4 linked regions of the Rhinolophus ferrumequinum genome follow. The protein of the gene in region 1 purifies or fractionates together with the protein of each later gene. This does not show direct contact. Links are inferred from orthologs where the notes say so. Each region holds a gene or a part of one and is shown in the gene's direction. Other genes may lie near its edges. The genes, in order: SF3B1, SNRPA1, SRSF5 and CCDC97.

Region 1 (8,193 bases):
GGTAGCCTGTTATGAAATATATAAAAATTAATACTTTTCCTATACTAACAAGAAACAGAAAACAACAGTACCATAGAAATGCAAAATATCTAGAAATAAATTCAACAAAAAAAACTTTAGGGCTTAAATCATAAACAAACAAACAATACCACTCTGCATCATGGAATCATGTAAAAAACAACCTGAAAAATCAGATCTAGATATGTATTATTCTTGGTTATAAAGAATCAACATAATTAAAACATAATTCATCTCAAAATTATAAAGCAATTTAAATAATAACAATCAAAATTACAAAAAGGTATTTCTTGAATATGCCAGAATAAGTCTTTACATATTAATTTAAATTAATCTTTATGATCATGAAATGAGGCCCACAACAGAGGGAGTGGGAGAAAAACCTACCTTCCCCAGGTTTTCAGACACTTTGAAATAAATACTGAAATAAGTCCCATGAAAAAGTTTGAAACCTTGTATCCTGGAAGCTAATTTCTTAACCTTTGTAGTCTACAAAGGTTAAGAAAGTAGTACAACATAGAAGTCAAGGGGATGGACTTTGTAGTCAGAAAAGAATGTGTTCAAATATCTCCTCTAAAACATAGTAAGCCATGTGACCCTAGGCAGGTTGCTTAACTTCTCCACTTCACTCTCTTCATTCATCATTGAAAAATACCCCTAAGCATTCTTTTCAGGGTTAAATGAAACAATTTTGGCAGTGTACAATGTTTCATAAATGGTAGCTATTATTATGTGTTTATGTCATATATGAGGGAAAATATTTGGACTACAATGACAAAGTTGAGTAGCTCCAACAGAGATAGATAGTATGGTCCACAAAAACCTAACAGATTTCCTATCTGACCCTTTACAGAAAAAGTTTGCCAACCTTCGTTCTAGATGGTAGGAGCCTCTTAGTATGCCTGTATGTACATCTATGTATATGCGTATGTGAGGGAGATATATAAATATATCTGGGCCAATGTATCAGTAATGTTGCCACTATAGAAAAGAACAGTGTACAACAATGCAGGTCATAAACAGGTCCATTCTTTACATGTCAAGGTTTAAATCTATCCTATAAAGTTACCATATAATTATATTCATTCAACAAATATTTATAAAACAGCAAGGGCTATGGAAAGGCCAACCTAGAAACAGAGCTTAGTCTATAAGAAGAGAATCCAGAAAAAAAAAAAAGTTATGATACTCTATAGAAAATTGTGAACATGCTCTTTTAGTAGAACTAATATATACAAACCCTATAATTCTCCTCTCTGAATATTCTTTTCTTTTATTTATTAATGGTGCAGCTACTTTGAAGAAAGTTCTTGCATATATCTCCTTAGGCAACACTGAAGTATTTGGCGGAAGCGTTCTGCTCATCAGTATACCACAGGAAGCTAAATATCTAAAAAGACAAAAATTACTTGATTTAGAGAGACATCGAAAATTAAGAGGAAAACAAATTACAGAAATTGTAAACACAAATTATTAGAGATTGTAAAATACCTATCACACTTCAGAAGGCTTTGCAACTTTACAATATTCCTGAAACACACACATACACACACACACACACACACACACACACACTCACACACATACAAAAAAAAAACAAGCTTCTTTGAGCACTGTAAAGAAAACTGAAAATAACAGCTTATAGCTAGGGTTAGAAGCTTCTGGCACAAAAGGGATCTATCCCAAAAAGTTGGCTTTTGGTCTATAGTCATGTGTCACAACGTATTCTTCTATACACTTGCTAGAATATTCATTATGTATTTTTCAACTCATCTACCCAGGTTTTTTCCCCAGCTGGATCCATAGGGGTTCCTTAATTCTTGATTTACTCTATTAGATTTGAAATTAGGTCTCATTCTCAGATTGGAGATCTGATGACCCTGTCAGAACTGTCACTCTGCTCTCCTTTTATTTTCTGATCTCCACTTTGTGCATATATGTAAAAACATATGCCAAGGTAATTATAATCTTAATTGTTTGAGGTACTTCTGAATCCAGATTCCCCGATATACCCTTGTTCACCTAAATATTTGTAGTCTTTCCCTAATGAGATTATTGCATAACTATTTTACACTACTATTCATGAATTAGTTCACATACTTATTGAGCTTCTATTCTGTGCTAGACATATAATGGATATAATGGTGACTATATAGATATAATGGTGAATAAAACAAACATGAGTCTTATGAAGATTACATTCTAGCTGAAGATTCCAAAAAAAAAGTGCTTAAAAGAGAAAGAAGATGGGAACATGCAATTAGGACTTCCTTTAGATCGGGGTCTAGGAAGTCAGCTGAGGTTGTATTTCAGCTGACACATAGTGGTAAGGAGATAGCCATGCAAAGAGAGACATAGGTATATATGTATATAATAAATGGGTGTGCCTATATGTAAACACATACACGTGTGTAACATATAGAGTTATATATGGAGGAGAGGGAGATAGGGGGCATTCCAGGCAGCAGGGAGTCCAGACTACAAAAGACTAACAGTGTATCAGCAGTACAGCAGGCGGGGAGTGTCTGAAATAATGTTAGACAGGTTGCAGCTGGATCATGCTGGGGATTACTGCCCAGGATAAAGCAATTTGGAATTTATTCTCAGTGAGAAGCTGTTGAAGAGTTTCAAGTAAGAGAGATTTCATTAAATTAAATCTTCAAATTATTTTTTAAAGGGAAATGGGGTGGCCTGGTGAAATCTCTTTATGTTATCAAATATAAAATTTTATCCATATAAAGTATGATTTACATATAAATAAAATTTCTTTAAGGACATAGACACCCTACAGTTTGAGTGGGGAAGAACAGAAAATCAAGTTAAACAAAGAATGGTCGAAGAAACTGGAAATATTCAGCTGGAAAGTAAGGGTTGATACCTGAAAATACGGCTCCAAAAGGTAAAACAAAAGCCCAAGTAGAGGGAGACAAGTTTGGGGTCCGTAACACAAAAGAACTTTTAAACACTTAAAGCTATTTATAAAAACTGGATGGGCTTATTCCAGAGGCAATGAAATAGAGAGCAATGAAAATGGTTAAGCTAGGGGCGGGCCTGGTGGCTCAGGTGGTTGGAGCGCTGTGCTCCCAACACTGAGGTGGCTGGCTTCATTCCCACGCAGGCCAGTGAGCTGCACCCTCTACAGCTAAGATTGTGAACAACAGCTCTCCCTGGAGTTGGGAGGCCATAAGCAGCGTGTGCTGCCAGGAGCGGCCGGTGGCCATCGTGAGTGGCCGGCAGCTATCGTGAGCAGACGGCAGCCAGTGAGAGCTGCCACAAGCTGCCATGGACATCCAGTCGGCGACCCACTGCGTGCAAGGCTCATAATACCAGCATGGGCTAGGGAGCTGTGTCCTACACTAGACAGAGAAACAGGGCTTGAACTGGAGGGGTGGGGGAAGCCTAGGAAGGGGAGAAACAAAAAACAAGCAGATCTGAACAGCACGATAACGTTTGCTATGCTCTGCTTGGAATTACTTTTTCAGGCTATGTCCTAAAACAGGAGTAAACGACCTGAAATGATTTTATTCCAGTTTTAACCAGTATTTGTCTAAAATGATGAGTTGGCTGGGTTGTAGGCATTTTAAAAATTCTTCATGGAATCTAAATGTCCTGGAGCTCAACCAGATTCGTGTTTTCTCCCTTCATCTCGTACTGTCTACAATTCATTTCATTTTAAACACTAACTTTAATTTTTCAGCATAACTTATTACAATGTTATTATTAAAAGGAAACTAAGTGGTGGAAATACAGAATTCTTCACCTTTCCACATGCATTTACACACCCACTCAACAACAACAACAAAAATCGAGGCAGACTCTGGTTCAAGGTTACAGGACCTGTAAGTTACAGTGGAGTGGAAAAAAAATTCCAAGTCCCCCACGTCTCCTACGTTTAGTTTTGCAAGAATCAAAGGGCAGGGGCAAAGACCTCTACCAGAAACTGGGAAAGCTCGTCTGGCCATCTGGCACTCAGCAGGAACAGAAGGGGGTTCACACCAGGCCACAAACTCCAAGACGCCCAGCAGCCCGCAACCCTCACAGGCAAATATAAAACTTTCTGACAACAGAAGCAGCAGGCCATAGGGGAAGGGACCGGAAGAGCCTAAAGGCACAGGTCGGCGAATTGCTTTATTAGCTGTTTCAACGTCGCTACGCCGATGATTCACCGTCTCTCGCGAGGGCAGTGAGCCACAAACACAGACGGGGCGGCCGGGAAAGGCCGGCGAGCGTCCGGCCCGGGGTGATGAGCGCGGCGCCTGAGTCCCTTAAATGTTGAACTCAGGAGTTCCCTCCAGAGACGCGGAAACGCTCCGGATCTGGCTCCGCCTCATCTAATATACAATCCCCCCTCGTACTCCCACTCAACAGGCCTGGGTGGAAAACTACCCACGTCTCGGCGCCCGAGTTGATTATTACCTGACGTTCCGCGCAGGCACCTGCGCCGGATTGGGGGCTCCAGCTGCTGTCGTCGACTTTGGACGACAACCCGAGACCGAGACCACCTTTCTCAGGGCCCTCTGACCAGTCCGAGCTGCCATGATCGTCTCACTGAAGCCGGTCACCAACTCCAGGACCAAGCCCACAGCACCGCCCATCTCCGGCTGGGCCAGGTCGCCTGGCTCCGGCGCCTTTCAGCCAATCCGCAAGCCCCATGAGCCACCGGACACGCTCCTCCTCTCACCCCGATTGCGCAAAGCTGACGCACGCTCCCACCGCCGTAGGGCCGAGTGTAAACGCGCGGGTCATTCTGCCCGCCAATTAGAGGGAGCAACAGGCCTCTTGGACACACCCCCTCCCCGGCCGGCCTCTTGTTCTCGCCGCCCGCTCCGACGCTTTACGTAAGACTCGCGGTGACGGTTCACCCCACCCCCTGCGCTGGAACTCTTCCCGGGATTTGCCAACCGCGGGGATTCTTTTGGGCGCTGCTCTTGGTCGCGAGGCCCAGCACGTGAGCCCAGCCCCGGGGCGGAGGAAGCCGGACATTCTCAGTGTTAATTATGTAACTGTCCAAACCGGTGAGTGCTGAGCCGGACCCGCCCTCGCTCCTGGCTGCGAAGTGTGGCGGTCAGTCTTGCTGGTAATGATTGTCTAATACAGTACCTGCGGCGCAACCCCGTGGGGTGGTTGTAAGGGCAACATAAGGTCACGTTCTTAGGGAAGATACTCAGTTCTATCTGCTTCTTCCTGCGAGGCCAGCATTTGAATTGGTGTTCGTGTATGGTTTGGGTTTCCCTCATTCCATTAAAACCAGACAGCTTTGCTTTGATTCACCCATATCAGGAATCCGTCAGTCATCAAGTCCTGACGTGTTTTTTTTTTCCCCAACCCTTTTGTTCCCAGGTCCTTATTTAACCGTTGTGCACACAGTTTCCTGTAAACTGAGAATAGCAGTACTATCTATTGCAGTTTTGAGGAGTAAATGAAATACTTGATTAAATGTAGCCAACAAATATTTTGTGGCCCTTACTCTGCCGTGTTAGGTGCTGGATAAGTGAACAAACGTCTTTACCATCATAGAGCTTATATTCCAGGGGGAAAACCAATTAGTATACTACACAATATCAGATCATATGATGTAGAAAAAAGTAAAGCAAGGTAAGGCGATGAAGAGGGGTAAGGTGAGGCACTGCTTTATGTAGGGTGGTCAGGGAGGCCGCTGAGGAGGTGATATTGAACAAAGACCTAAATGATGTGAGGAAGTGAATTACGTGAATATTGGGTGGGGGGAGTTACTTCAGGTAGAGAGAACAGCAAGTGCAACAACTTTGCCCTGTTTTATGAAGAGCAGAGGCTTTGGGTTACAGTGAGTGAGGAGGAGAGTGGTAGCAAATGAGATCAGAGGTAGTGAGGGCTTTGTCAGAGTGCCTGGGAGGTTAATGGTACCAACTTTGGATTTTATTCCAAGTGTGAAGGGAAGTCATTTGAGGTTGAGGGCAGAATAGTGACTTGATCTGAGTTACATTTACAGACATATTTCAGCTGCTATGTATATGTATGATTGTTATTTTCTACTCTTGCTTTGTTCATTGCAGTCATCCCTTACTTGATGCTTTGTGAAGTGAGTTGAAATTCCCAGCTACAAAGTTTGTCAAACACTTTTCAATGCAACATAGGATGTGTTTGTCGATTCAGGTGGTTTTGAAGCTGCATCCAAAAAATTCTATATCAGATTACCTTCAAATTCACAATCCCTGCTCTTCTTGACTTAAATCTTGAATGTTTTCAGTAATGTCTTCCTTTAAAAACAAATTTTCATCATATAATTCCCCTACTAAAAAACTACAGTGGTTGCCAGTGCCTACAAAATATAGGCATTACACTACCACCTTCTGCTAAGTTCTATTTCAAACCATGGGTGATGTTAACTAGAAGGCCTGCTAAACATATTTTTTAGTATAATTACTTATGCACTTCTTTTAAGGCCTTCTTTTATTAATTTCGCCAAACATTTTCTCATTCAGTTCTTCCCAGACATGAAAATACCTACTGAATTGGGCCACCCAATTGAATAGTTTCCCAATTAAAAAAAAAACTTAAAGGCAAATAAAGGAATCTTTGTAATAGATGACAGTGTATGACACACATTTGACTTCTCAGCAGAGTAATACATGTATGTCATAAGCTTAAAAGTAATAATATAATAAACTCTGGTCCAGTTTCAGTGGATGACAGTGCTTACACAAATTGGGGGTTCAAAGGTTTGTCTATACAATGTGAAATGATTGGTAGTAAATGAAACTCAGCACAGACCTATGGGAAGCGATATCTTAGAGTCCAAACTAACTATGCTCTTAAAAATACATTTGACACGACACGACATATTAAATATTCTGGGAAAAATAATTGAAGCTGAATCTGGCCAAGCTTTTAGATATGCTAGTTTACACAGGGAATAAAAGAACATGTTAAAGGCACCAAAGAGATACAATCTGCCAAATAGAGAATGTGAGAAATTCTGTAAGACAAATGATCCAATTTCTTCAGCAAATAAATGTCAAGTAAAGAAGGAAGAAGGGGAGTAGATTTTACATCTACTATTGAAGATTTAAAATATTTAAGAGGCATTATTTAATAGATTTTGTTTTGAACAAACTAAACAGAAAAAGGCATACAAAACTGGGAAATTCGACTGAAATGTATCTCTCTACACAGTAGACATTCATACTGAAGATTTTACAGGTGAAATATGTCTTTGATTTGCTTTAAAGTAATCTTGTGGGGTGGAGGAGTAAAGTGGATGGAACAAAATTAATTGATCATTAGTTGATAATTATTGAACTCGATGATGGGTATATGGAGAGTTTATAATAGTATTATATATAATTTTTGTGGATGTTTAAAATCTTCTGTAATAAAAATATAAATAGATGGCCTTTCATGTGATCTTCCCAAATGAAATCCTCCTGATTGACTTCCACTTAGAATCATACATTGACCCCGAATTTAAATTGAACAGAACCAGAAAGGCTTCAGGTAAATAGTGATGGCTATGATTTTGTGTTAATACTGTTTTTAATCAACGCTCCAGTCAAAACAAATATAGGATGAATTTTAACCACAGAACAAGACCTTTACTTAAATATCACATATATTTTTCTGAAATAAAGCAAGTTTTTAAATTCACATAAACTCATTACTGTCACCTTTTTGATCAATAGAATAATCTTCCTAGCATGCTCAATGATTTCATACAGGCATTATCTTTGTGAAATGTTAGGTTGAAAGAAAACCTTCCTTGACTAAATCAGCAACTGAGTTACAAGAGATTAATACTATTACAGATGTTAGTTTCTGATAAAAATCAGACGATCAAAGAGGATTAACTAGACAGTTTGCCCTTACTGACTGACTTTGTAAGTCAGGGACCAATCAGGAAAATTATACCAGTTATTTTAAATAGAAAATTTAATGTAAGGACGTTGTTAAACAGGGATTGGAGAACTATGGTGACAAAAAGGGGATAAGAAAGTAATAGTAACTGCAAGAAATAGGTACCATACTACCCCATGTTCCCAAGACCACTGGTGGGTTCAGTGATTTGCTACGAGGACTCACAGGACTCACCATATAGTTAGCTTTACTCACAGCTGTGATTTATTACACTGAGAGGATACAAAGCAAAATTAGTGGAAAAAGAGCATATGAGATGTTTGGGGGAAACCAGGTGCAAATTTC
Region 2 (7,260 bases), on another chromosome or scaffold:
AGGTGCTGACCAGTGGGGGAAATGGTGGTATTTGTGGTTTCCAGAACGGTTTGATGTCATTACGTGGAAGGTCTTTAGCTTCAGAGAATGTTGATGGGACCAAGTCATGGGAGAAATCCCAGAGTTCCAGCCCCAGGGTGTCCTTTGGCAAACAGCCCCTCTTCAGGCCACAGACGCCCGCTTGGGTGGAGAGGCTGGTTATAGGGATGCTTCCTTTCTGTCCCAGACTGCAAGCCCCTTCACCTATGGCTGCCAAGCCTGATTTAATTAGGTTACAGCTTCTTTCCGCACAGAAACTGAAACACTTGCACCATGGGTTCCATGCTGCATGCGATTTTGACCGTGTCCTCTCTGCAAGATCAGAAGCTTGTTTTGCTAGGAACCCTTCGGCTGCAAATAAAGGAAATTCACCAACTAGAATTGACTTAGGAAAATACAAAAGTGGGTGAGGGGCATTGTTTTAGGATCCCAGGGTTGACTCAGAATTTCAGGGAAGGGTGCTGCTGGGCCTTGGGAACCCTAAGACCAGCATTAAATGTCACCTGGACCCCTTTGCTTTGGAGCAGTGAATGGGACAAATGACAAGGCCACCACCATCTCCCAGGTGAGCTTTCTGAGTCTGCTTCTTGGCCCTGGTTGGTCTGCCTTCATCGGCGTTCACCGGTCCCATCAGCTGTGGCCACAGGGACAGGTTTGTGCAACAGAACGAAGCTCCAGGCAGTTCTTCCTGTGACCACCTAGCGGGAGGGGTGTAGCATGATGCTGTCAGAAAATGGGGGTAAGGCCCACAACCCAACACTACCCAGCACGAGCGTGAATTGACCAGACCTGTCCGTGTGAGGGGCCAGTGGGGAAATGAGTGGGTGTATTTGCGAGACAGCAGCCAGGGCTGGGCTGATGACTGATACGGATTCAACCTCCCCCAGGAGACTCACCTGAGGTTAAAACCAGCAGCTAAGTATCTCTGGTGGGGGAGGGGAGCCGTTGGAGCCCCTAGAGCTCTTTGCCCACTGAGCGCTTATGGTCTAACATGTTTAGAACTGAATCAGACATAAACTTTTATTCCCAAAGCATTCCCACTACAGGCAGCCAACCAGACAGCCTTGGAACACACATACCCTCATCGCAGTGGCTGGCCCAGCCTGTCCTGGGGCTGACGAGTGCCGTGGGCAGCTGGGAACCTGTTCACAAAGTTCTTAGGACCAAATGCCACCTTGTTTAAAAGGACCGACGACATAAAATGCCTTTTTTTGCAAATGGCCCAACCTTAACTTCATCTAGACTCAGTTGGCGCAGGACATGTTCATGGATTTTATTTTATGTGACAGAATCATGGCTCTTCCCCTGTAAATCTGTCATTTCACAGACGGAGGCTCACAGACGTAAAGTGACTTGCCTTGGGCCACACACTGGCAAGGTTGCTCCCATCCATGTGCCCAGGGAGGGAGGCTGGCTCTCTCCGCAAGAGGGGGCATCACTTGTGCAGCTGACCAAAGGCAGGCATGATGCATTTGTTTTAAACTAGCTTTATTTCCAGGGGGTGACATTTTCCTTACCCTGTCCGCCAAATTCTTTGGCACCTCAAAGTGGTCCCCGGGTGCATATCCCCATCCCTCCCAGGCCACGGCGGACTTTATACCTGGTAATTATGTAAAGAGCTGGGGAGAATTGCACCTTTTACAGAAGACACAGCTGTAATGGGAAGCGGGCTGGACAGAGGTTGAGAAAAACCAAAGGGCACCATGGTCAAAGTGAGGCCAACAGTGCAGTGCTCTTGAATATGGGGGGACGGTCACTCACTGCATTTAAATCACTGATAATATGGCCACAGGGAACTTAACCTGAATGCTTGGGGTATGCTGGGGCCCCTGGGAGCAGGTGAAGGGTGGAGGTTTGCGTCAGACGACGGAAAGGCAAGGAGATGGAGAAGTACAAAAGAACGGCATTTTAATAAGAACAAAAAGTAGTATACCAGCCATTCTGCAGCATCTTAAGGTTCTGCCCAGCCAGTTGGAAGCGACTGGGTGCTGGCTGCCATGGGAAAGGAGGAGACTGCATCCCGCTCCGGACTTCCCTGCTGCTTTTCTTCCTTGAACCCAGGCCTTATCCTTCCTGACACCTCAGGCTCTGTGGCTTGTCTGTGCACAGAACAGCACCCCGAGGTGATGCAATGCTGAGCACCCATCTCATGCCCTGGGGTTCAGTTCCCATCACCCGAAGCTGCCCCCCACCCCAATATGTACCAGCTACACTAAGGGTGATCGATACCTACTAGGCTCCTTGTTGAGCAAATAGGAGTCCAAGTGCCCAGAGCAGAAAACATCTCGTTGCCAAAAACAGTGGTTCTCAACCGGGGGTGATTTTTGTGTCCCTGGGGACATCTGGCAATGTCTGGAGGTATTTGGGGGTCACAACTGGAGAAAAATACTGACATTTAGTGGGCTGAGGCCTGGGATGCTTCTAAACATGATGGAATGCCCAGGACAGCCCCACAACAAAGAATAATCCAGCCTAAAAATGTCACCTGTGCTGAGGTTGAGACTCTCTAGCCAAAAGAAATGAAATCAAAACAGAAAATCTGTTCTCAACTTCATAGAGATAACCTAAGGTTAATATAACTGCCTCTAGTTTATCTCCCTGTCCATATGCCGAAGCAACAAAAACCCATACAAATTTCCTATTTTAAAGTAAAGAAAGAAACTCTTTTCAATCCAGCAAGCCAAGGGCCAAAACCAACTCTTTGGTCTAAGGACTCCCCCTGGTGGTCCTCTGTGGGATTAAGTGAAGTTGGGATTGTAGCGTTTTTTATTTTGAAACAATCTCAATGCAAAATTACAGAAAAGTTGCAAGTACAGTACAAAGAAATGTTTTCCTGAACAATTTGAAAGTAAATTACCGATATGATACCCTATTACCCATCCACCCCCAAATATTTTAGAGGCTATTTCCTATAAACAAGGACCTTCTCTTATATAATCATCAGAAAATCAGGAAATTCACATGGATATATTACTACCTACCGTCTAGTCCTCTGACTGCATTCCAGTTTTGCCACTTGTCCCAGGAATGCCCTTAGCAAAAGGATCCAGTTTAGATCACATTTTGCATGTAATCCTCCTGTCTCTCAAGTCTTCTTCAACCTAGAACATTTCTTCAGTCTTTCCCTGACTTTCATGACCTTGAACCTTTTAAGGACTACAGGCCAGTTATTTATATGCTGACCCTCCGTGTCTTTGTCTGAGGTTTCCTCATATTTCAATTCTGGTCAGATGTCTTTAACCGTAATCTCCCAGAAGTAATGTGTTCTTCTCGTTGCATCCTAGTAGGTGATACAGGATTTTGATTGGTTTCATGATTGGTGATAGTGACTTTGATCAATGATTAAGTTTTTCCCCCCTTGGCTATGAAGTGATGCCTGCTAAAAGGATGTCCCCTACCACCACTGTCCAACCTTGTACTTAAGATGCCAGACAATGCCACAGGGCAAAAAATAAAGAACTAGTACACAAAATGGAAAGGAAGACATAAAACTATCATTCTCAGACGGGACGCTTTCAAAGTAGTGTTCCGTGTCTGCACCAGGGCCGACAGTTTTCGCTGGCGTGCTCACTCTGCGATCATTCGTCACGTTGCACACTTCTGATGTGCCCACCTTTATGTATTATCATGCATTAAAATAAACATTTAATTGTCTGGAGGCCTAACCACAAAGTCGACCGTGCCCAGGTGCCAGGTGCTGGGAGGTCGGGCGGTCCCAGCGGCCTGGCCGGGAGCAGGTGATCCAGCCCCGGGGTTCAGGTTGTAGCCCGGGGGCCAGAGCCCAGGACCCAGACGGGAATCCAAAGTCCTGGACCCTGCATGAATCCCACGGGTGCCCGCCACCTTCACCTCCAGGTGCACTGATGCCTGAAAAAGTTCCACTCGGGTATCGTCACATGTTGCTTAACTTGCGGACACAAATGTCTGGAATCAGGGGTCCTCCAGACTCCAGAGACGCCCTAGGAAAGCAAGCAGGACTAGACGCGTCCTCAGCGCGCTCCAGGGCCTCAAAGGAGAAGGAGATCGGGGACGCGGCTCTTCGATTGCTTCGGCCTGGACGTCGAGCTGCGCGCGCACGCGGCGGTGCGACTGGTGCTGCCTGGCGGCGGGCGCGGGGCAGGCCGGGACCTGTGTGTGGCGGGAGGCAGCCGCGGGCCGCGCACCGGGAGCGGGAGGCGGCAGTATGGTGAAGCTGACGGCGGAGCTGATCGAGCAGGCGGCGCAGTACACCAACGCCGTGCGGGACCGCGAGCTTGACCTTCGGGGTGAGTCCGCGGAGAGGGCGGGCCGTCGCCGGGCCGCGCCTCCGGGCCGCGCCGCGTGTGCCGAGCGCTGGAGCTGGGGCCGCGCGTGCCTGCAGCTCGGGCCCCAAGGGGGCGGCTGCGCCGGGACCGCCGCGGCCTGAGTCCTGCCGGCGTCACCGAATGACCGTCCCTTGGGCTCTGCCTAGGCTTCTGTTCCGTCCTCGCTCCAGGGCCGACGCGGTGGCTTCCTGGTCCGTGTCCGCGGGCCTCCGTGAGGCCTCCTCGGGCTCCTCCTCCGTCCGCTGTGTTTGAGGGCCGGGGAAATGCACTGAGTGCTTGGTTCTCAGTCCGTACTGGTCATCGTGCGAGTGTCGGTAGGACGCGTGTGAATTGTCTCCAGTCGGTGAGGGAGGAAACGAAGTCCGGGAACAAAAGCGATTGCTGCCCAAACGTTTCCGCCTTACGAGCTCCAGTTGTCTGCGATTTCCCTTTTACCGGCAGGTTTTATGGAGTGAACTGTTTCCCCGAGGCTTGCTCGACCGGGTGTCGTGTGTAAGTGGTGCAAGCTCTCGGAACTAATCGGGTTCCCGGAGCTATTGCAACCTTAGGGAGGCCGGGCAGGACACTGAGTACAGCTGTTTAATCAGCGTGTCAGAAGATGATTCCAGGAAGGACAGTCCTGACGAGCGGGGGAAAGAAGGGAGAGGACACACGCTCGAGTGGGCCCGATGACCTGATTTAGTAATACCTAATCAATGTATTTAGTAATAGGCAATAGCAAAAGGCAAGTAATAGAACGTGCTAGTGACAGAAGTAAAGGTGGTTAAGACTAAACTATATACATTGATAACAAGGTCACGTCAAAGGAGTACACGTACTTAAAAGTTTAAGAGATCCCAGCACATGTTTACTATTGATCAAAAATCACTTGGCTAAATGCACAAATAACGTCAGTAAGGAGAATCCAAAAGCAGTAATAAGCCCTCTAGGATAGTAACTGTGATAGTAGATGCCAAAAGCTCACCAAACCGTAGGAAAAGTCATAAGTCAAAACTTCATCGGGTCTGCAGCTGAGAGAAACTCAGGCGTCTCCCGCCCCGCCGCTTGCTAGTTCCCAAGAATTTTGCTGCCGTTTTTTCGTTGCTGGAACTTAGGGCGTCCCTTGACATTACAAGCTGCAAGCTGTATACACGTTTCTAAACTGTTCACAAGTTCTCCGGAATGCTGTTGCTGTTGTGGTGGCTGTTGCTGGAAGTTAGGGCGTCTTCTGATGTTGTAAGCTGCAAGCTGCATACAAGCTTCTAAAATGTTAACAGTTCTCAAGAAGGCGAACGGTGGGGAACAACACCGGAGAGGCCGGGAACCAGGCAGCCCTCACCAGGTCCACGGCTGGAAGTCAGGACAGCCCCTGGTGCTGTAAGCTGTGTTGCTGGAAGTCTTCAAAATGTCAGAATGATGAAGAGTCACCAATGACAAATGATGAAATTTTAATTACGATTACACTGCCAGCTGAGGTCTGTCTTAAATATTTTCTCAGATGTGCCTTAGAGCCAAGTTTCTTGTTCCTGCCGCCCCCTCCGGGAATGGCCGGTTCCGGGAGGGTCCGGCAGTTACTGATACGAATGCTGCCCATCTGGCCGAAGGGCCAGTTCATCTGGATAAGCAACAAGACCTGGCAACGTGCCTGTCACGTCGTCCTGATATAACTTAGCTACTTCTTCACTTCTGCTGATACAGGCGAAACAGAACAAAGGGAATTCTCTCAACCCCTGATCAAGAATTCTTTTAACTCTAAGCTAACCATCACCTCACAGCACGACAGAAAAGCAACCTCATCTCATGTCTCCGCTGCTCGGGAGAATGAGACCAAAGGGGGAAGTGACTCAACCCTGATCACAGCACAGAAATCAGGAACATACTGGAACAGGTAAAAGCTAATACACAAAAGCTCACATCAAACAATGAAGGCAAACTTTCTTCACTTCTTCACGTCTTCCCTGATAAAAAGAAACAAGAAAGTCACATCCGCCGATGAAGGCAAATTTTCTTCAACATCTTCCTTACAAGGACCCGAAGAGCAGCTTCTGCAGGGATGAGATTGTACAATCTTGGCCTGAGATTTGCTCCCACGGGGACTGTAGAGTCTGGGAAGCTGCCGTGCTGCACGCTCTGCCCAGTGCTTTTATTTTGATGCACTTAAGTTTCTCAGAGGAAGATTCAACTGGAGAGTAACTGACCACTTTGACCTTCCCGGCTCAGGTTGACCTCTGTGGTCTTCAAGTGTGAAGCATGTGGGGTGTGGAGGATAATTGGGGCAGCACTTAACTTGGATGTAGCCCTTGCAGCTCTGAACGGTGGCCTTCCTTTAACCTTGGCTGGGTTCATTTCTTCGCTTCTAGCATCTAGCACAATAATTAAGCGCATGTTAGACAAGTCAGTGAGAATTCGCTTGAATTGTTCGTAGCGTGATTTCCCATTGGGTATAAGTCATTGACCTTCAACCCTGGATTGGAGACGGGGGAGGGGAAGTAAGGGGAAACTGTCATGGTGTCGTGAGGCTATCCTGATGGGTTGTATGAAGCTGACCTGTGGGAAGGCAAAAGAGAACTGTTGTCCCCGGTGTATGAAAAAGGTTTGGACACTGGCCATAAGCAGCTCACTGTAAATTCCTGTTACGCCACTTAACTAGCTCTGGGGCCTTGCTTAGAACAGTATGAGGCACCTTGCAAATACCCTTCCAAGTGTTAGCTACCACTTAATGTCACTAAGTATCCTCGTCGTCATCGGCCTTGACATCAGCACCTTCACGACCACTGCTACACGGTAAGCTTCATGGCAGCCGGGACTTGTAACTTTTTCCCTATTTTGTGTGCCAGTACCTTGCAGTGTTTGGTGAGGCATAGGTGCTAGGTAAACACGTTCTGAACAAATGGAAGCTTTGAGTCGAATGACCATGTGATACTGCCCGTGTTTTAAG
Region 3 (8,048 bases), on another chromosome or scaffold:
GGAATCTTGTGCATGAAGAACCTAAATCTTGGAAATGAATGGAACTTTCCTCTCCTCTCCTCTCCTCTCCTCTCCTCTCCTCTCCTCTGCTCTCCTCTCCTCTCCTCTTTTCTCCTCTCCTCTCCTCTCCTCTCTCTCTCTCTCTCTCATTCCCTCTTGGGATTGTCAGCTGCCATTTTGTGAGGACATCCTATAGAGGCCCACATGGAAAGGAACTGAAGTCTCCAGCCAACAGAAAACTGAGGTTTGTCACTAGTCATGTGAGTAAGCTTGGAAGGAGATACCCCCAGTTGAGACTTTAGATGAGACTGCAGCCCCAGCCAACAGTTTGTAGCTGTATGAGAGATTCCAAACCATCCAGTCAATCCACTCCTGAATATCCTAACTCACAGAAACTATGAGACAGTAAATGTTTGTGGTTTTAAGCTGCTAAATTTTGGGATAATTTGTCACACAGTAATATATAAGAACTGCTAACAATGAAGGAGAAATGGTCACTGGAGAAGAGGAGAAAAAGCATGGAACGGCTGCTGAGATAATGAGAAAGAAAGGAGTGAACCAAATAGTGCAAGTCTGGTTGCAAACTATAGTTGGGACTCACCTGATTAATGTGCCAGTTAAATATTCAGACTCCTGAGCCTGAGATTCCTGAATCAGGCTCCCTTGGGAAACATCACTGGGAATCTGCATTTGGAATAGAGCACAAATGATTCTTTTACAGAATCCTTGAGTTAAAGGATAACTTAGAATAGAGGTAAAAGTGGGACAGAAACAGCAGCTAAGGCTAGAATTTAAATTGGGAGTTATTTCATAGCACAAACTGACATCAAATCAGCACTACGTTATGGATCTATAAATAATTTCTAAGTTTCATCAACAAATTCTGAATTAGTGGGAATTGCTTTCTATCCACATCTAAGAAAATATTTTCAGCATCCTTTCTCTCTCTCAGTTCATTCCCTATGCAGAGATGCTCTCTGCCTATTCTAATTTCTACCTCACTCCAAACTTCTCTGGCCTTGGTGGTCAGGACTCTGCAATTCAGTAGTAGTGCTTCCTGTTTCTGGGATTTCTGGGGCCACCTTAATGCACAGAAAGGTATTACATGAAGTCATGCCGTAAGCTTTTGTGAATAGGGCCTTGGCAGGAAAATCAGAAAGTGGGATGCTCTGGGCAAAATAAATTCTTAGACTCTCTAAGCCTCAGTTTCTTCATTTAAAAAAATGTTATAACACCTACATGGAAGAGTTGGTGTGAGGACTGAGATTATGTGTCTGGAAATAGCAGCTGTCGATATTAAGAGGGATAATTAGGATGATATGCTTAGGTACCCTGAATTTAATTATCTTGATGTTAGAATGATTTGTGTCATGAATCTGCTTCCCTGTGACTGTCCCAGTAGGGCTCCAGCCATAACCTGAATGAGGCATGAGTACTTGGAGGAGGGAAGATGGAGCCAGATGACAGATGGGTTTTATGGAGAAAAAAGTGAGTTTCTAGACCTGAGTCAGCAACTCCAATACTGGCTAAGTATTAGCATTGCCTGCAGCCCTTACTGACAAATGAGGGTTCTACCCCAGACCAATTAATTTAGAATTTCTGCCAGTCGGAACCCAGGAGTGTTATAAACACTTCCCAAATGATTTTAGTGTACAGTTGGTGATGAGAAACACTGAACTAGGCTCTCAAGTGAAAGTACAATAGTGGTTTCATTGGTATTTTAATTATTGTGCACTAAATTAAACAATATAAAATCAGGATGTAGTAATAGAAAGAAGTCAAATAGGTATATAGGGGTGAATCTGAGCCAAAACGGAACAGTTGAAAAAACACACATTTCCAAGAGAGATTAAGGATACTTACTCCTTCGAAAGATCTTTAGAATTATTAGCTAGAATCAAGGAAGCAACACTTTTTCCTTAGTGCTGGGAGTTTGGGATAGGAATTTTTAAGCATCTGGTGAGATTTAGGACATTTACAGAGAAACAGAGTAGCTGCCGTTCAGAATGAATATTTTCCCCAGGCATGTAGTTGTGTCATGTTGAGTAGAAAAAGAGATACAAATCTGAATATGCACTTTTGATCATAAGTATATTAAAACAAAGAAAGCTGGAAAATGCCCATGAATAAGTTTTATGAATAGAAAAAATCACGATACCAAATTCTATATGTGAGAATGATTCATATTTTGAAAATAAAATCTTGAAAATTGTGCTTATAGAAAAACACTAAAGGGTAATTATAAAGAAAGCCAAATAGTTATCCCTCAGGGTTGGGAATAAGGATGGCCTTTTATTAATATATTCTCATATCTATGTTTTTAAAAATGATGATGTATTATTTTTGAATTGGAAAAGAAAACATATGTTAAACACTCAGGACAAAAACCATAAGAAGGAAAAGAGCAAGTTATAATCAGAGATAGATTTGGGGAGATGGGATCATGAGTGTTCTCTTTTTTCAATTATTTTTCCTGTTGAACTTTTTTGCTATATTTCTTTTTTATAACTGTAATAAAATAAACTCTATTTAGAAAGAAAGACCACATCCTGTCTCCTGGTTATTATCTGACAAAGGGAGTTGGGTGGAACATTCACAGAACATTTTAAAGTCTAGGAATCAGTTAGCTCAGGTAAAACTTGGCAAACATTTTCTGTAAAAGGCCAGATAGTAAATATTTGAGGTTTTGTGTGTCTCTACTGCAACTACTCAGCCCTGTCGCAGGACAGCAGATGTAGACAATAATTAAATAAAACGGAGTAGCTATGTTCCAAAAACAACTTTATTTATGGATAATGATCTTTGAATTTCATATACTTTTCATGTGTCATGAAATAGCCATTCTTATGATTTCCTCCAGCCCACACCATTTAAAAATGTAAAACCACCCTCAGGCTGTACAAAAATCAGGTGGCAGGCTGGATTAGGCCCACAGGTTGTAATTTGCTGACCTGAGTTAGATAAAAGCAGGAATGGGATGAATGACACATCCCACAGTTATGCTCAAAGTCCCCGACAGAGTTGGCCAATAAACTTTGTCTTTATATTAATCTGTGATTTCTTTGCACTTTTTCCTTTACTAAAAATTTGCCCCTCATTTGGATGTCTTAGGAAAAGGATGCCAAGCCATTTTGTTGAAACATTCTTATAGAAGATGACCTGAAAAAAAATGCTAATGCAAATCCAGGTCTACAAATATTGAGTCTTTTCTGTGTTAGGCATTTCTGGAAAACAAAAACATGAATAACATATATCTTATTATAAGTCAGTGATGAAGGAATTATAGGGGTATACACAGAATACTGTAGGATCACACAGGAGGGAGAGTAATTCTGCGCATGGAAGATGAGGTTGTATTTATTGGAGAAATTGTTAAGAAACAATCTGGTAGGGACTTACTATGTAGTTGTCATGGAAAAAACAAGCATTGCAGAAGACAAGTGGTTTAAATTACAGTAGATCAAGTCACTAGGGAATACTGATGAAAAATCACCTTTGTGGAAATGACAGACTTTGTAACAGTAATCAAGAGAAAAGGCTTTATAAAAAAATTAGTCCCAAAGAAAATCACAACAGCACGCGCTGAAGGCACCAACTTTTTACCCGGTGTACAGCACCATTGTTCCTGTTTTTCCCCCCCCCAGAAAACCTTTTCCAGATCTCTTACTGCGGCAAAAATGTTTAGTGAGTGAAATCACAAGCTGTTGTTTCGGTCAACAACACAAAATGTATAAAATAATGAATGGGAAGACTGATTTTTTGAAAATTATGTAGAAAGCAAACAAATTAAGTACTGGCTTGGTACAATTTGTGCATTATCAAATGCCAATGTTGATCAGGCTATCAGCTAAAGATGTTCTTTAACTTAAATATTTCCTTTTAAATTCCCCCACACAATAGATAACGTCACTATTTTGCTGTGTACCTGCTGAGGCTCTTTTTAAAATAAACATAAAAATTCATGAATGGACTAGCTCATGCTATATGAACTATCCAAGTTCTAATGCAGAGTTCCTAAATGCCCCGGTGGTCAGTGGAGGTCAGAGTAAGGACAGGGAGCTCCTCTCCTTGAACTACTTTTATCTCTGTGTAACTCTAGTTACAAACAGCAACCCTAGATTCTGGGCAGCTCTCAAAAATGGGATGATTTGCGTTCCACTTAAACGTATTAAAGAAACGTAAGCCTCTCACCATCTTCATGCCCAAATTTCTAAGCCTGACAACCTTACTGGGAAAGTGGAGTTAAGGATGCGGAGGGCTACATTTCACACCCATTGGCCAATAAACTTGAAACTTTGAAAGCACAACATTGTTTCTGAAGAATGTAGCCTATCTTGTGTTCCGTTACAGAAACCTGAACGGGGAGGGTTGACCAAATGTGTTTGGATTCGGAAGAGCTTGAAACCTCTTATAGCCAGCACAGTCCTGGTGTAGTGCAAATGGAGAAATCGGCATTCTGGACTCAATTCAAGATGGCCTTCTAACTGCAGTCCCAATTTCAGTATTTCATCACGTAAAAAACCTTCCATTTTAAGAAAAAGTGCAGTTCCTTAGTCTTCTTACTATAACTAGTGTGGTTTAACACGTCCATGGTACGGTTAAAAGATTCATTGCTCATCAAGGAGCGTCCTCCAACGTGCAACCTCAAATTGCAAGCAGCAGGAAGAGGGCAGGGATGGCCAGATACTTTTCGCAAAGCCTGAGTTTCTCTTACCCAGTACTCTTCAGGTCACCATGAAAAAAAAATCAGATAAAAGAGAGACGTGATTTATCTTAGAATATTTTCATACTAGAGATAACGAAGAACAGAACTTGACAGCCTGAGGAAAGCGAACATCTTCAATGGCTGCCCCTCCAGCGCCGGGAACCTGACGGCCGAAACTACGCCAGTTCTCGCCCCTTGGTCCCTCCCACCGCGGGCGAAGGTCGGTCAGGCGGTCACGGTAAAAAGGCCCCGGTCCCACCGAAACTTCCGTCCCTGGACCTAAGGGGGCGGTCCCATGGGCGGCCCCGGATGTGACGTAAAGGCGCGCCTTCCATTTTGTGGAACGCCAGAGCAGCTAAGTGCGTCAGTTGTGGAGATACGTAGACGAGTTGAGTCCTGGTCTGCGGGGAGGTAGACGGCTCCGTCGCAGACTACGGACCTCTCTCTTGGGTCTCAGCTGCCAAAGATCCTGTCCGGTAGGTGAGTGGCTCACTTTGAGGGAATGGCTTCTCGGATCGAGGCTTCTTCATGGCTACTCAGATCGCGAGTGGCCAGGGCTGCTCTCTTTGCGGAGGACGGCGTCCAATGAGCGCAGTTTATTCGAGGTGGGCGCTGGGGCACGTCTCCCTTTGGGTATTGTTTGAGGGGAAGTGAAGGTGGAAGGGCGGTCGTGGTTACGGTCGTTTTTACATGGAGGGGTTGTGCGCCCCTCCCTGCCTCTGATTCACTAGTCGAACCCCTCGAGTAGTGAGCCGAGAGCTTTGCTCGGGGTGTGGTTCGGGTTTTCTGCGGGCGGGTACGGTGACTCCGGAATAGTGGAGTCGGGGGAGGGGGAGAGAAGGGAGTTTGGCACGCGCGGCTCTTCCCCCCCCCCCGCCGGCTACCCCGCCGCCATTTTGTGGCAGCCTAGCGTCCTCCCGCCGCCATCTGCGCAGGCGCGGCCGTGGCATTGCGAGATTCCGTCTTCTACCCGCTGTGACGCTCCTGGGAGGCGGCGACGCGCGCTCGGCCCGTCGTCATTGGGCTGGCCTTGCGGAGGGCGGGGCCGGCTCCGCCCGCACTTCTCGGCCTTTCCTAACTGCGGCAGATGGGAGGGGGCCAGAAGAGCCGGGGAGAGTGTGAGGCTGCGCAGTTCCAGAGGCGGCAGTGGGCGTTGCGGTTGCTGTGTTCTGGGCCCAGGGAAGGATCGTGTTGGGAGCCGAGTTTTAATTTTGTCTGCAAGGGACCTGGCCTAATAAGAGGCACTCTTGGCAATCTTGTTTATAACATCACCCGGTAAACATTTTATTTTATGCTGTTTATGTTTTTGATCCCTCGATTAGGCATTCATTTGACATTCACTGGTGGTGTCTCAATTGAATTATTTTCTAACAGGAACTGCTAGCCGGGCGTTATGAGTGGTTGTCGAGTATTCATCGGGAGGCTAAATCCAGCGGCCAGGGAGAAAGACGTGGAAAGATTCTTCAAGGGGTATGGACGAATAAGAGATATCGATCTCAAAAGAGGCTTTGGTTTTGTGGTAAGTATTTAGTTAGAACTTCTTGAGCTATCTATTGTTCAGTTCGTAAAGATTTTGATAAGTAACGTTTTCGATCTTATTGAGAACAGGTAGTGTGTCTGGAAAATGTTATGTATCCTTAAGACAGTGAACAAAAGAATTTGCTGGCTAGAAGGAAACCAGTCCTGATCACTTTTCAATTAGACTCACTATCTATATGGCACTGTCATTAACATACTCGTCCCATTCTGTTACATGTTTTTGGTGCTCTTAATATGTTGTAGAATATACTTTGAAAACTGTGTAAAGCTTTATATTTTTTCATGCTAATATTTTAGGAATTTGAGGATCCCAGGGATGCTGACGATGCTGTATATGAACTTGATGGAAAAGAACTTTGTAGTGAAAGGTGAGAACCTTATTTTTATGTTTATGACTATTTAGCATTGTAATGTAGAGCATTCTAGATTTTGGGTATTTTTCTAGGTCTCATTGCTTAGGTGAATGATAAAGGTTTTTGTTTCCTTCTCTAGGGTTACTATTGAACATGCTCGGGCTCGATCCCGAGGGGGAAGAGGTAGAGGACGCTATTCTGACCGTTTCAGTAGTCGCAGACCTCGAAATGATAGACGGTATGTGATGGCTTCTTGGAGCAATCGTTACTGCAGGGGTATTTAGTGATTAAGAACCATTAGCAATAAGTGATTCTGATATTTACCATATAGTCAGTTCTGTTATTCCTATGTCAGTCTAGTATTTCTGATAAGTCTGTGTAATGAGTCATAAAGTCAGAAACTGTCGATGAACATTTGAATGACTTGTCATATCTGACTGCTTAAACTTGGTCAAAATTGAACAAAATAAACAATACGTTACTGCATTTCTTCCATTGTTGAATTCTCGTTTCCTTCCTCAGAAATGCTCCACCGGTTAGGACAGAAAATCGGCTTATAGTTGAGAATTTATCTTCAAGAGTCAGCTGGCAGGTTTGTTGTAATTCAGTTTTGAGATATTTTATTGTGGTTTTTTAAAAAACTAATGGGTAGCTAATTTTTTATTAATATTTTATTAAAAGTATTATTTTTAATTAAATTAATGGACTTAACTGTAATTTTAAATTTTTAATTAAATGTAACTGGGGGATATTTCAAACTTTAATATTAGTGATCAAATGTAAATGTTTTGAGGATATTTTACTTGTTTTTAAAATCAATTTTAACCAAATATTAAACCCTTTATTTGCCAGCCTATCTGTGTCGTTGGCCTTATGACGAGGAGTGCCTGTGGGTTATCCTAATCGTTGTCTTGGTCACTCTTGGTTGGGCCTGGTTGACTTTGCCAGTCAGCTCCTACAGTGATCAATTGGCCACCTCTAGATCTGTGTTTGCCGGTCTAGACGTAATCGGGGCACTTTCTTGAAGTGCCAGGTTGCAGCGATCCCAGAGCGCTGATAACGTGATCTGATCCTTAAGTTGAGAGCTGTCTTCCTGTAACGCTTCCGAATAAGAGGTCCTGGTCGAAAAGAGTTGAAAGATACGAAATTAGGTGGTCGTTGGAATCCTGATCGCAGTAAAGTGGTCCTTGGTAACTGCACAAGAGTAGAACATGTCTGCATCCGCCAGTAGTCTGCTAATAGGGAGGGCTGTGCGATTAAAGGCTTCCATCGATTGGGTAGTGTCCTTCAAGTGGGTGGCGAAGAGCCAGTCGGGCATATGTCATGAAGGTTTCTTCGACCGATTAACGGTTTGCTGCTTGACTAGCCTAGGGAAATAATAATAAAGGTAAAGTAAACTTTTTTAATGACATATGGGGCACAAAATAACTGGTGTCTTGTAAATGTTCTGT
Region 4 (7,754 bases), on another chromosome or scaffold:
GTGTTTTTGGCAGGGAGGGACCCTAACCATCCCCAGGTCCCTGCCAGACCCTTAGGGGGCAGTCTGTAAGCGTTGGTCCCTCCAGCAAGTACATTTCTCTTGGCTGTGTCACTGGCTCACTGAATGCCCAAGGAAGCACTTGACTGAAGTTACCACTTGCCCAGGCCAGAACGGTCTGACCCCCTTGTCTGGGAACAGCTGCCAGGAGACTGATGAATGGTTTCCAATCCTGGTCTAACCAGAAAATTTCCTAGAACAGGAGTTGGGCAGGCACAAATTCAAGTCCCAGCCCTGTAACGTCCTGGTTTTGTGACCTTGGACAGAGCCTCACCTCTCTGGACCTCGTTTTCCTCACAAGGACTAGAATTGTTACTAGAACTCACATCCAAGCTTTGTTGTGAGGGTTGGGGGAAGGCATTATAGCTTCATGCGTAAGGCTCTGGAACTAGGCAGACCTGGGGTCAAGTCCCAGCTCTGCCACTTTAGCTGTGTAACTTGAGCCCAGTGATTTCACCTGCCTGAGCCTCATCTTCCTGATCTGTAAAATGAGGCTAATGGAACCTACCTCACAGAGCTGGTGGGGGGATTAGATGAGTTAATAATACAGCCTGGACATGGGAAGCACTTAGGGAATTGCCACTACTGTTTTTCTCAGCAGTTCTTCCTGTAACAATTACCACCATTTACTGTGTGCCCAATAGTTTGTGGACATAAAGGCAATTGAAGGGGTAGTTTTGTTGTAATTCTCATTTTACAGAAGAAGAAACAAAAACCAACCAACCTGGGATTTCAAGAAGTGCTATGTGCCTTGCTCCCCCAGGATCTCAGAGCTGGGATTAGAGTTTAGAACACAGCCTTATATCCTAGCCTGTCCTGCCATGTCACAGAGCTGACCCACCTCCCTCCTCAGCCCCCAGACAGCCTCCACCAGGGAAGTTCTTTTGTGGACCCACTGCTTACGAAGGCCCTCCATCCCAGCTGAGCTGGCTATTTCACAGAGCCCTGGTTTTTCTCCCCACTTTCCAGCCGAGTTACAGCCAGCCACCCTACAACCAGGGAGGTTACAGCCAGGGCTATACAGCCCCACCACCTCCACCTCCACCTCCACCTGCCTACAACTATGGGAGCTACGGCGGCTACACCCCAGCACCCTACACCCCACCACCGCCCCCTACCGCACAGACCTACCCTCAGCCGAGCTATAACCAGTATCAGCAGGTAAGTGCCAGGAGGGGTGTGAGGGCTGGGGGCGATGGAATGGAGAGACTTCCAGGGGTCCCACGTGGAGGTGTATCCCCAGAATTGAGTTCCTGCTTATCCCTGAGAAGACAGGCAGCCTGCTGGCCCTGGCTGGCATTCATTTGTTAGAGCCATTCCATTTGGTGAACACTTCTGCACTGGCTGCTCAACAGCCAGTGTTCTAGCCCCTCTCCCCAGTGCAGCAAGGAAAGGCTGTAGCAGTGGCCTCTAGATCCTGCTTCAGCACCATGGCCAGTGACTGTTCTGATAGCTTGGCGCTAGGTGGCCCTATCTGTGATAAGTATTTTGAACGTGGTATCTAGCTATACCTGAAAGGACATTAAGTTAGCAAGCCAGGAGACCTGGGCTGCATTCCCTAACTGCCCACCCATGTGGCATTAGGTCAGTCATTTGTCAAACCTAGGTGCTTTGATTCCTCTGTCAGGGGACCCATGTCGGCACTTATCACTGTACCCATCTCTACCCTGGGCGTGAGGAGAGGAGCCAAATGAGGGTTTAGATGAAGGTCAACTTGGTGCTTTTGGTTTCTCCCCAGTATGCCCAGCAGTGGAACCAGTACTATCAGAACCAGGGCCAGTGGCCGCCATACTACGGGAACTATGACTACGGGAGCTACACCGGGAACACGCAGGGGGGCACGAGCACTCAGTAGCCAGTGTGCCCCGGAGGCCCCTGCCGCTTCCTCCACCAGCGTCCACCCTGACCCCTCATCTGCCCCCACCGGGTCCCGTGGTGCTGGGGAATGGGCCATCCCAGGGCTGCCTCCCCTCTGAGGGGCTTCTTCCCCCACACAGGGCTGGGCGTTTTTCTCTGGATTCAAACAGGCAACAATAAACTTTTATTTTCTGTTTCTCCCCCCACCTCCCTCCCCCTCCCTCCCCCTCCTTTCCCCGCCTTCTTTTCCTTCTCCTCCTCCTCCTCTTCCCTTCCTCCTTTTTGACTAAAGACCCCTCCTTTCCCTTGGTCACACAGTGAGGCTGAGGGCAGGACCCCTTCCTATCCACTCATCCCAACCCTGCTCCAGCCCCTTGGCTTCCCGGACCCTCGGCTTCCCAGACCCTCATGCAGTTGGTTGTAAATTCTTCCAGAAGCTGTTTTACTGTCTACTTTTCAGGATTTAAAAAAAAAAAAAATCAAAAACTTTTTTAAAAAAAGTTTAAAAAGCAACATGTGGAGGGAGGAAGCAGTGACAGATTTTTTTTTTTGTAATTATGCTTTTTTTTAATTTTTAGAATTTGTCCGTTTTTACTGTGGGTCAGCTGTTGATATTTCATCGGGATAACCATTTCCTTGCTGAATTCAGGCAACCACGGAAGAGCCACACCCTCAAAACAAAACAAAAAACCACAGAATCATCTTTAACCTAACTTTTTATACGATGTCTCAGTTTCTCATAACTTTGCACACAAGCTTCTGTGTTGAGTTGTAACTGCTTTTTGTATTTGGAGAGAGTGTGACTATTGAACTTGAAACCTTTTATTCCGGGCGTCTTGGTAGTTTCTGGTGGGATTAAGTGGGCAAGAGGGGAAAAGGGGAGGTGGGGGGCTTCTTCCTTTCAGAACTCCCACTACCTCCTCTCCAGAGGTCTCCCAGGTGCCACACTTAAAGGTTTATCCTACAGTGATCCTCTGATTATTTTTAACTTCCCCTTGACCCATATGTTTTAACAGGATTTTAACAAACTGCACTTATTAAGAAATGTGTTTGCCCTGTTCTATTTTGTTTTCTTTCAATAAATGGCATGGCACCTCCTAGCAGGAAGGAAGTGGGGTTAAAACCCTGAAGTGTTACTGCAGTGGCCTTTAATTGGGGTGGGGCCTTTCCAAGGGGACATTATTTACTCATTCATTAAACACTTTTTGAGGGATTTGTGTGCCTGGCCCTGTTTTTGGTGCTGGGGATGCCCCCGTTAAACCTGGGGCCCTCAGTTTAAAACCCACTAGTTCATTTGTAAAGTGGTTCTCTGGTCCCTGGCCTTTCCAGTCCCAAATCTCTACAGGAATAGAGGATTTGTGAGTAGACAGCATGGAACCAGGTCCCTATGTGGAGGGTGACAGGGTTGATGGGATGGAAACCAGGGCTGGCCTGTTGGGGCTTATCACCGGGTATGGCTTCTACCTCCGGCTTGGCCTGTGAGCTGGACTTCGGACGGTTCCTGCCTGCACTGGGTCTAGTCGAGTGGAGATTCCAGGAACCTCTATCTAGCCAGTATGTTAGGTGCTTGCTCTGTTCCTCAGTCTGGACAGTACTGGGGACATGGCATTGCCAAGGCAGCCCTGGACCCTGCCCTGACAGGCCTCTGAGTCCAAAGGTAACACAGACCTGTCATCAAATGGGGACAGCACCAAGTGGTCAGCTGTGAGAGCCTGGGGGGGGGGGGGCGTATGGTGAAGTGAGGGCTTCCTAGAGAAGGGAACATTTTTTAAAATAGCCCAGGGTAAAGGACTTTATGATTGCATCCCCACAGCCTGTTCTCTTCCTTCCCTTGGAGGGACAATACTGGGGCACAGGAGTAACCAGTTCAGTCCCACCCCTGCCCTCACAGGAAGTATCTTGGAACCTTGTGAAGGGGACACAGGCTACACAAAGGAGGAAGATCTACTCATTTTGAGCTCAGGGGTGGGACATCTAAACGTGAGAGGGAGCCAAGTTTGGCTAGTTGGGCTAAAAGGGACCCTAGAGTCCCCACTCCCTCTTCAAGGAGAGTAGGCAGGGAAGGCCTCCAGTCTGGGTAGTCCCCTTCCGGACAGTTCCGTGTGTTGGGTAACAGCGCCCTCTGCTGGCCACCTGGTGATACGTTTAAGTATAGTCCCCACCTTTCCTGAGTAGCAAATGGGCCACTTTCCTCCAGATCCCTTATCCTGTGAATACAAACTGCTCTTGGCCACGCTAGATTACTGCATCAGCCTCCTCACAGATCTCCCTTATCTCCAGTCCCTTATCCTGATACCACCTGCCATATCCCCACAGGCTACTTCACACGCCTATGGGGGCAGCCAATGCCAGGTCCCAGATGATTTAACTAGCTAGCTTCATCTTTTGCTGCTCTTTTTTTTTTTTTTTAAAGATTATATTGGGCAAGGGGAACAGGACTTTATTGGGGAACAGTGTGTACTTCCAGGACTTTTTTCCAAGTCAGGTTGTCCCTTCAATCTTAGTTGTGGAGGGTGCCATTCAACTTCAAGTTGTCCTTTCAGTCTTAGTTGCGGAGGGCACAGCTCAGCTCCAGGTCCAGTTGCCAGTTGCTAGTTGTAGGGGGCACAGCCCACCATCCCTTGCGGGAGTTGAACTGGCAACCATGTGGTTGAGGATGTGCTCCAACCAACTGGGCCATCTGGGAGCTCAGCGGCAGCTCAGCTCAAGGTGCTGTGTTCAGTCTTAGTTGCAGGGGGCACAGCCCACCATCCCTTGCGGGACTCAAAAGAGTCAAACCGGCAACCTTGTGGTTGAGAGCCCACTGGCCCATGTGGGAATCAAACCGGGAGCCTTCAGAGTTAGGAGCACGGAGCTCCAACCGCCTGCGCCACCTGGCCAGCCCCTGCTGCTCCTCCTTTGAACTTAAGATCAGTTGTTTGTTCTGGGGGAGTCATTAAGTCCCTTGTAGACTCTATAAACGCCATGAACCAAATCCACATATACATGGAGTTTGCACAAAATTTATGAGGTTCTCAAATCCTCTACAGCCCAATTATGACCTTTAAGTTAAAATTCTTTCTATTCCTTGACCATACACTGAGTCCTTGCAGTAACCAGAACTATCCATGCCTGCCCTCCCCTCTGGGTCTTCGCCTCACACCTCCCTGTGCCCGCGACCCTTATCCTAATTCATCCTTAAGGATGAATTGGGCATCCCCTCCTCCCAAAAGAAGCCTTCTCTGACCCTCCGGGCTGTAGTGGCAGTTCCTTTAGCCCCCTCGGTCCATCAGAGCTCTGGGCACTCGGGGTGGTCACTGATGACGTCATGTCTACTCCTGGTAACACCCTAGTCCCTACCCATCACCTTGGGGCAAAGCAGGGCCACGGTTTTCTCCCTCCACATCTGCAGATTCTCCAGGTCCTCACCACCCATCTCATGAGCCAGGGACTGGGTGTGATGACAGAAGCAAGAGGCAAGGCTAAGCAAATATTCTTTGAAGGGGTGAAGAAATAAGGGGATAGACGGGGGTCTACACTAGAGCACAAACCCTTTAAGTCCCTGGAGGGTGCCTCATTCAACCATCCATCCTAAAATCAATCATGCTGGACTCTGGAGTCACAGCAGTGAACAAGTTGAACAATGGTTCAGATCCCTCCTGATATTCCCAACTCGCAGCAGTTCAGATGGGCGGGGGACGGAAGGGCCTCTCTGACCCTGGCCCCCTTTTCCTTCCTGGCTCCGGAGGGCGGGGCCCGAGGAGGCACGCATGCGCATGGGGAGGTCCGCCTTCGGCCCGGAACTTCGGTTCTGGGCGCGGTGGAGCACCGGGCGGAGCATCGAGAATGTGCTCAGCCGGAAGTGGCTGCTAAGAAGCCGGTGGCCGGGTTTAGTGTGCGGGTCCTGCCGCGCCAGTTAACAAGTGGTAGGAAATCTGGATGGAGGCCGTGGCGACCGCGGCGGCTGTGAGGGAGCCCAATGAAGGTGAGGTCCTGGCCACGCGGAGGTGGCGGGAGGGTGGGACTGCGGTGTCACTGGGAAATGATTCCCCAGGAGCGCGGAGGAGAACTCTTTAAAGGAGGACACCTGTGCTCGGCCTTGCCTGTCCCCATCACCACTTTGTCCAGGTTAACCTCCTTCACCCCCTCCCTTCCCCCTAAATTAACCTCTTCCAAGTTCCAGGCCAGCCTTTTCCGTGTCCCAGGCTAACCCAGTTCCTTACCAGGCCAGCCTGAGAAGGTTAACATAAACCTCGCCCCTACCCTGGGCTAACTCTCCCATTGTCCCAGCCAACTCCGCTTCTCAAGTTACCTACCTCCTTTTTGTCAAACTGACTCTCCCCTTCGCCCAAAATTCACAGTCCCATCTGCTTCCTCAGGGTCCTTAATCCATTTCTGTGCTCCCCCGTTTCTTTCCTTTGCATTTTCAATCTCTATTCATACTGATGCCTTCCCATCAGTATCTTAAATGCTTTTGTTTTGCTCATCCTAAAATTCCCTCCCACTGCTTCAGAGTAATCTCATGTAGGGTGAGGTGTGTGGTTGGGAGAACTGGTCATTGTTGAAGCTGGATGGATATATTGGGGAGGGGGGATTGTACTCTCTACTTTTGTGCATGTTTGAAGTTTTCCATAATAAAAATATTTTAACCTAAAAAAAAATGTATTCCTTGATCCCGTGCTGCCTTCCAGAAACCGTCTGTTTTCTCCAAAGAGTCATTCATACATGTCTCCATTTTCTCACCTCCCACCCATTGTAGTCTGACTTTTACCTTCAGAAACTGCTCTGATTAGGGTCTCCTAGAAATGACCTCCCGGTGTAGTTAAACTGAGTCACCCATTGAATGGTATGGAGCCCTCCGTCCTTGAAGGTTTTCCCTTGGTTTCGGTAACACCCCTTTCTGATTTCCTTAGTCTCAGGCTCCTCCTGCTTATCCTCTCTGTTCATTTCCGAGGGCTGCTGTAGCAAATTACCACAAACTGGGTGGCTTAAAACAACAGAAATTTATTCTCTCACGTTCTTGAGGCCAGAAGGCTGAAACCTAGGTGTCAGCAGGACTGTGGAGGACTCTCCTCAGAGGCTCTAGGGAAAAACCCAGTCCTTGCCTCTTCCACCTCCGGAGGCTCCTGGCATTCCCCGGATCGTGGCCACATCACTCCGATCTCTGCTTGTCATCTCTTCTGTGTGTGTCAAATCTTGGGCTCTCTTTTATAGGACAGTGTGATGGTATTTAGGACCCACCCGGATAATGCAAGATAATCTCCCTGTCTCAAGATCCTGAACTTAATCACATTTACAAAGACTCTTTTGTTGTTGTTGGCTATATAAGATGAGACTCGTAGGTTCCAGGACATAAGGCGTGGCTATCTTTTAAGGGGCCTTTTTTTACCCTTTCACAGGCATATCTTCTCCCCTTCCAGTTAGGGCTCTTTCCTAGCCCCTCTTCTCTTCTCATCCCTCTTCTCTGCACACACACACCCCTGCCCTCCCTATAACCTCTCATGTCCTTCAACTCTAGTTGTTGTCTTGGCTCTGATGACCCCCACAACTCTGTCCCCAGCCTTGCACTTCTTTCCTGAGAAGTCTCTAGTCCCATGTACCAGTGGTCTCTTAGGTGCCTCCCTTGGGTGTCCCCTGGGCACATACCTTCCATGCTCCGAACTGACCTCAGCATCTTCCCCCAAACCTGCTCCTCATCCATGTCTCTGCCTCAGTTTGACCAGTCCCCTGGTCAGAGCCCAGGATCTTAATTGGCTGCCCTGTCCTCCTCACCTCCCAGCCCTTCAGCCCTGTGGCCTGTCTACATGGCCTCCTGAGCGTCTTTCTAACCACCACCTCTTTTATCCCCTCCACAGCGACTG

What was found.
Region 2: the proteins of SF3B1 (region 1) and SNRPA1 purify together in Homo sapiens (affinity purification with mass spectrometry; 8 studies listed by BioGRID and IntAct, counting the BioPlex papers as one, with this or other methods). This does not show direct contact. The link is inferred for Rhinolophus ferrumequinum from reciprocal best matches to the Homo sapiens genes SF3B1 and SNRPA1.
Region 3: the proteins of SF3B1 (region 1) and SRSF5 purify together in Homo sapiens (co-immunoprecipitation; 3 studies listed by BioGRID and IntAct, with this or other methods). This does not show direct contact. The link is inferred for Rhinolophus ferrumequinum from reciprocal best matches to the Homo sapiens genes SF3B1 and SRSF5.
Region 4: the proteins of SF3B1 (region 1) and CCDC97 purify together in Homo sapiens (co-immunoprecipitation; 4 studies listed by BioGRID and IntAct, counting the BioPlex papers as one, with this or other methods). This does not show direct contact. The link is inferred for Rhinolophus ferrumequinum from reciprocal best matches to the Homo sapiens genes SF3B1 and CCDC97.

Annotation. Positions count from the first base shown.
Region 1 is NC_046291.1:33,139,780-33,147,972, forward strand, and holds the start of SF3B1 (splicing factor 3B subunit 1), read left to right. Parts: upstream 1-4,883; 5' UTR 4,884-5,033; intron 5,034-8,193. Other genes in the region: COQ10B (coenzyme Q-binding protein COQ10 homolog B, mitochondrial), read right to left, coding at 1,259-1,408, 4,435-4,613. UniProt on the Homo sapiens protein: Component of the 17S U2 SnRNP complex of the spliceosome, a large ribonucleoprotein complex that removes introns from transcribed pre-mRNAs.
Region 2 is NC_046311.1:12,857,956-12,865,215, reverse strand, and holds the start of SNRPA1 (U2 small nuclear ribonucleoprotein A'), read left to right. Parts: upstream 1-4,125; 5' UTR 4,126-4,222; coding exon 4,223-4,304; intron 4,305-7,260. UniProt on the Homo sapiens protein: Involved in pre-mRNA splicing as component of the spliceosome. Associated with sn-RNP U2, where it contributes to the binding of stem loop IV of U2 snRNA.
Region 3 is NC_046289.1:27,441,085-27,449,132, reverse strand, and holds the start of SRSF5 (serine/arginine-rich splicing factor 5), read left to right. Parts: upstream 1-5,030; 5' UTR 5,031-5,185; exon of another isoform or gene 5,186-5,310; intron 5,311-5,610; exon of another isoform or gene 5,611-5,980; intron 5,981-6,079; 5' UTR 6,080-6,098; coding exon 6,099-6,224; intron 6,225-6,541; coding exon 6,542-6,612; intron 6,613-6,736; coding exon 6,737-6,835; intron 6,836-7,119; coding exon 7,120-7,189; intron 7,190-8,048. UniProt on the Homo sapiens protein: Plays a role in constitutive splicing and can modulate the selection of alternative splice sites.
Region 4 is NC_046298.1:39,625,255-39,633,008, forward strand, and holds the start of CCDC97 (coiled-coil domain-containing protein 97), read left to right. Parts: upstream 1-4,739; 5' UTR 4,740-5,832; coding exon 5,833-5,878; intron 5,879-7,754. Other genes in the region: HNRNPUL1 (heterogeneous nuclear ribonucleoprotein U-like protein 1), read left to right, coding at 1,027-1,218, 1,796-1,912. UniProt on the Homo sapiens protein: May play a role pre-mRNA splicing through the association with the splicing factor SF3B complex which is involved in branch-site recognition.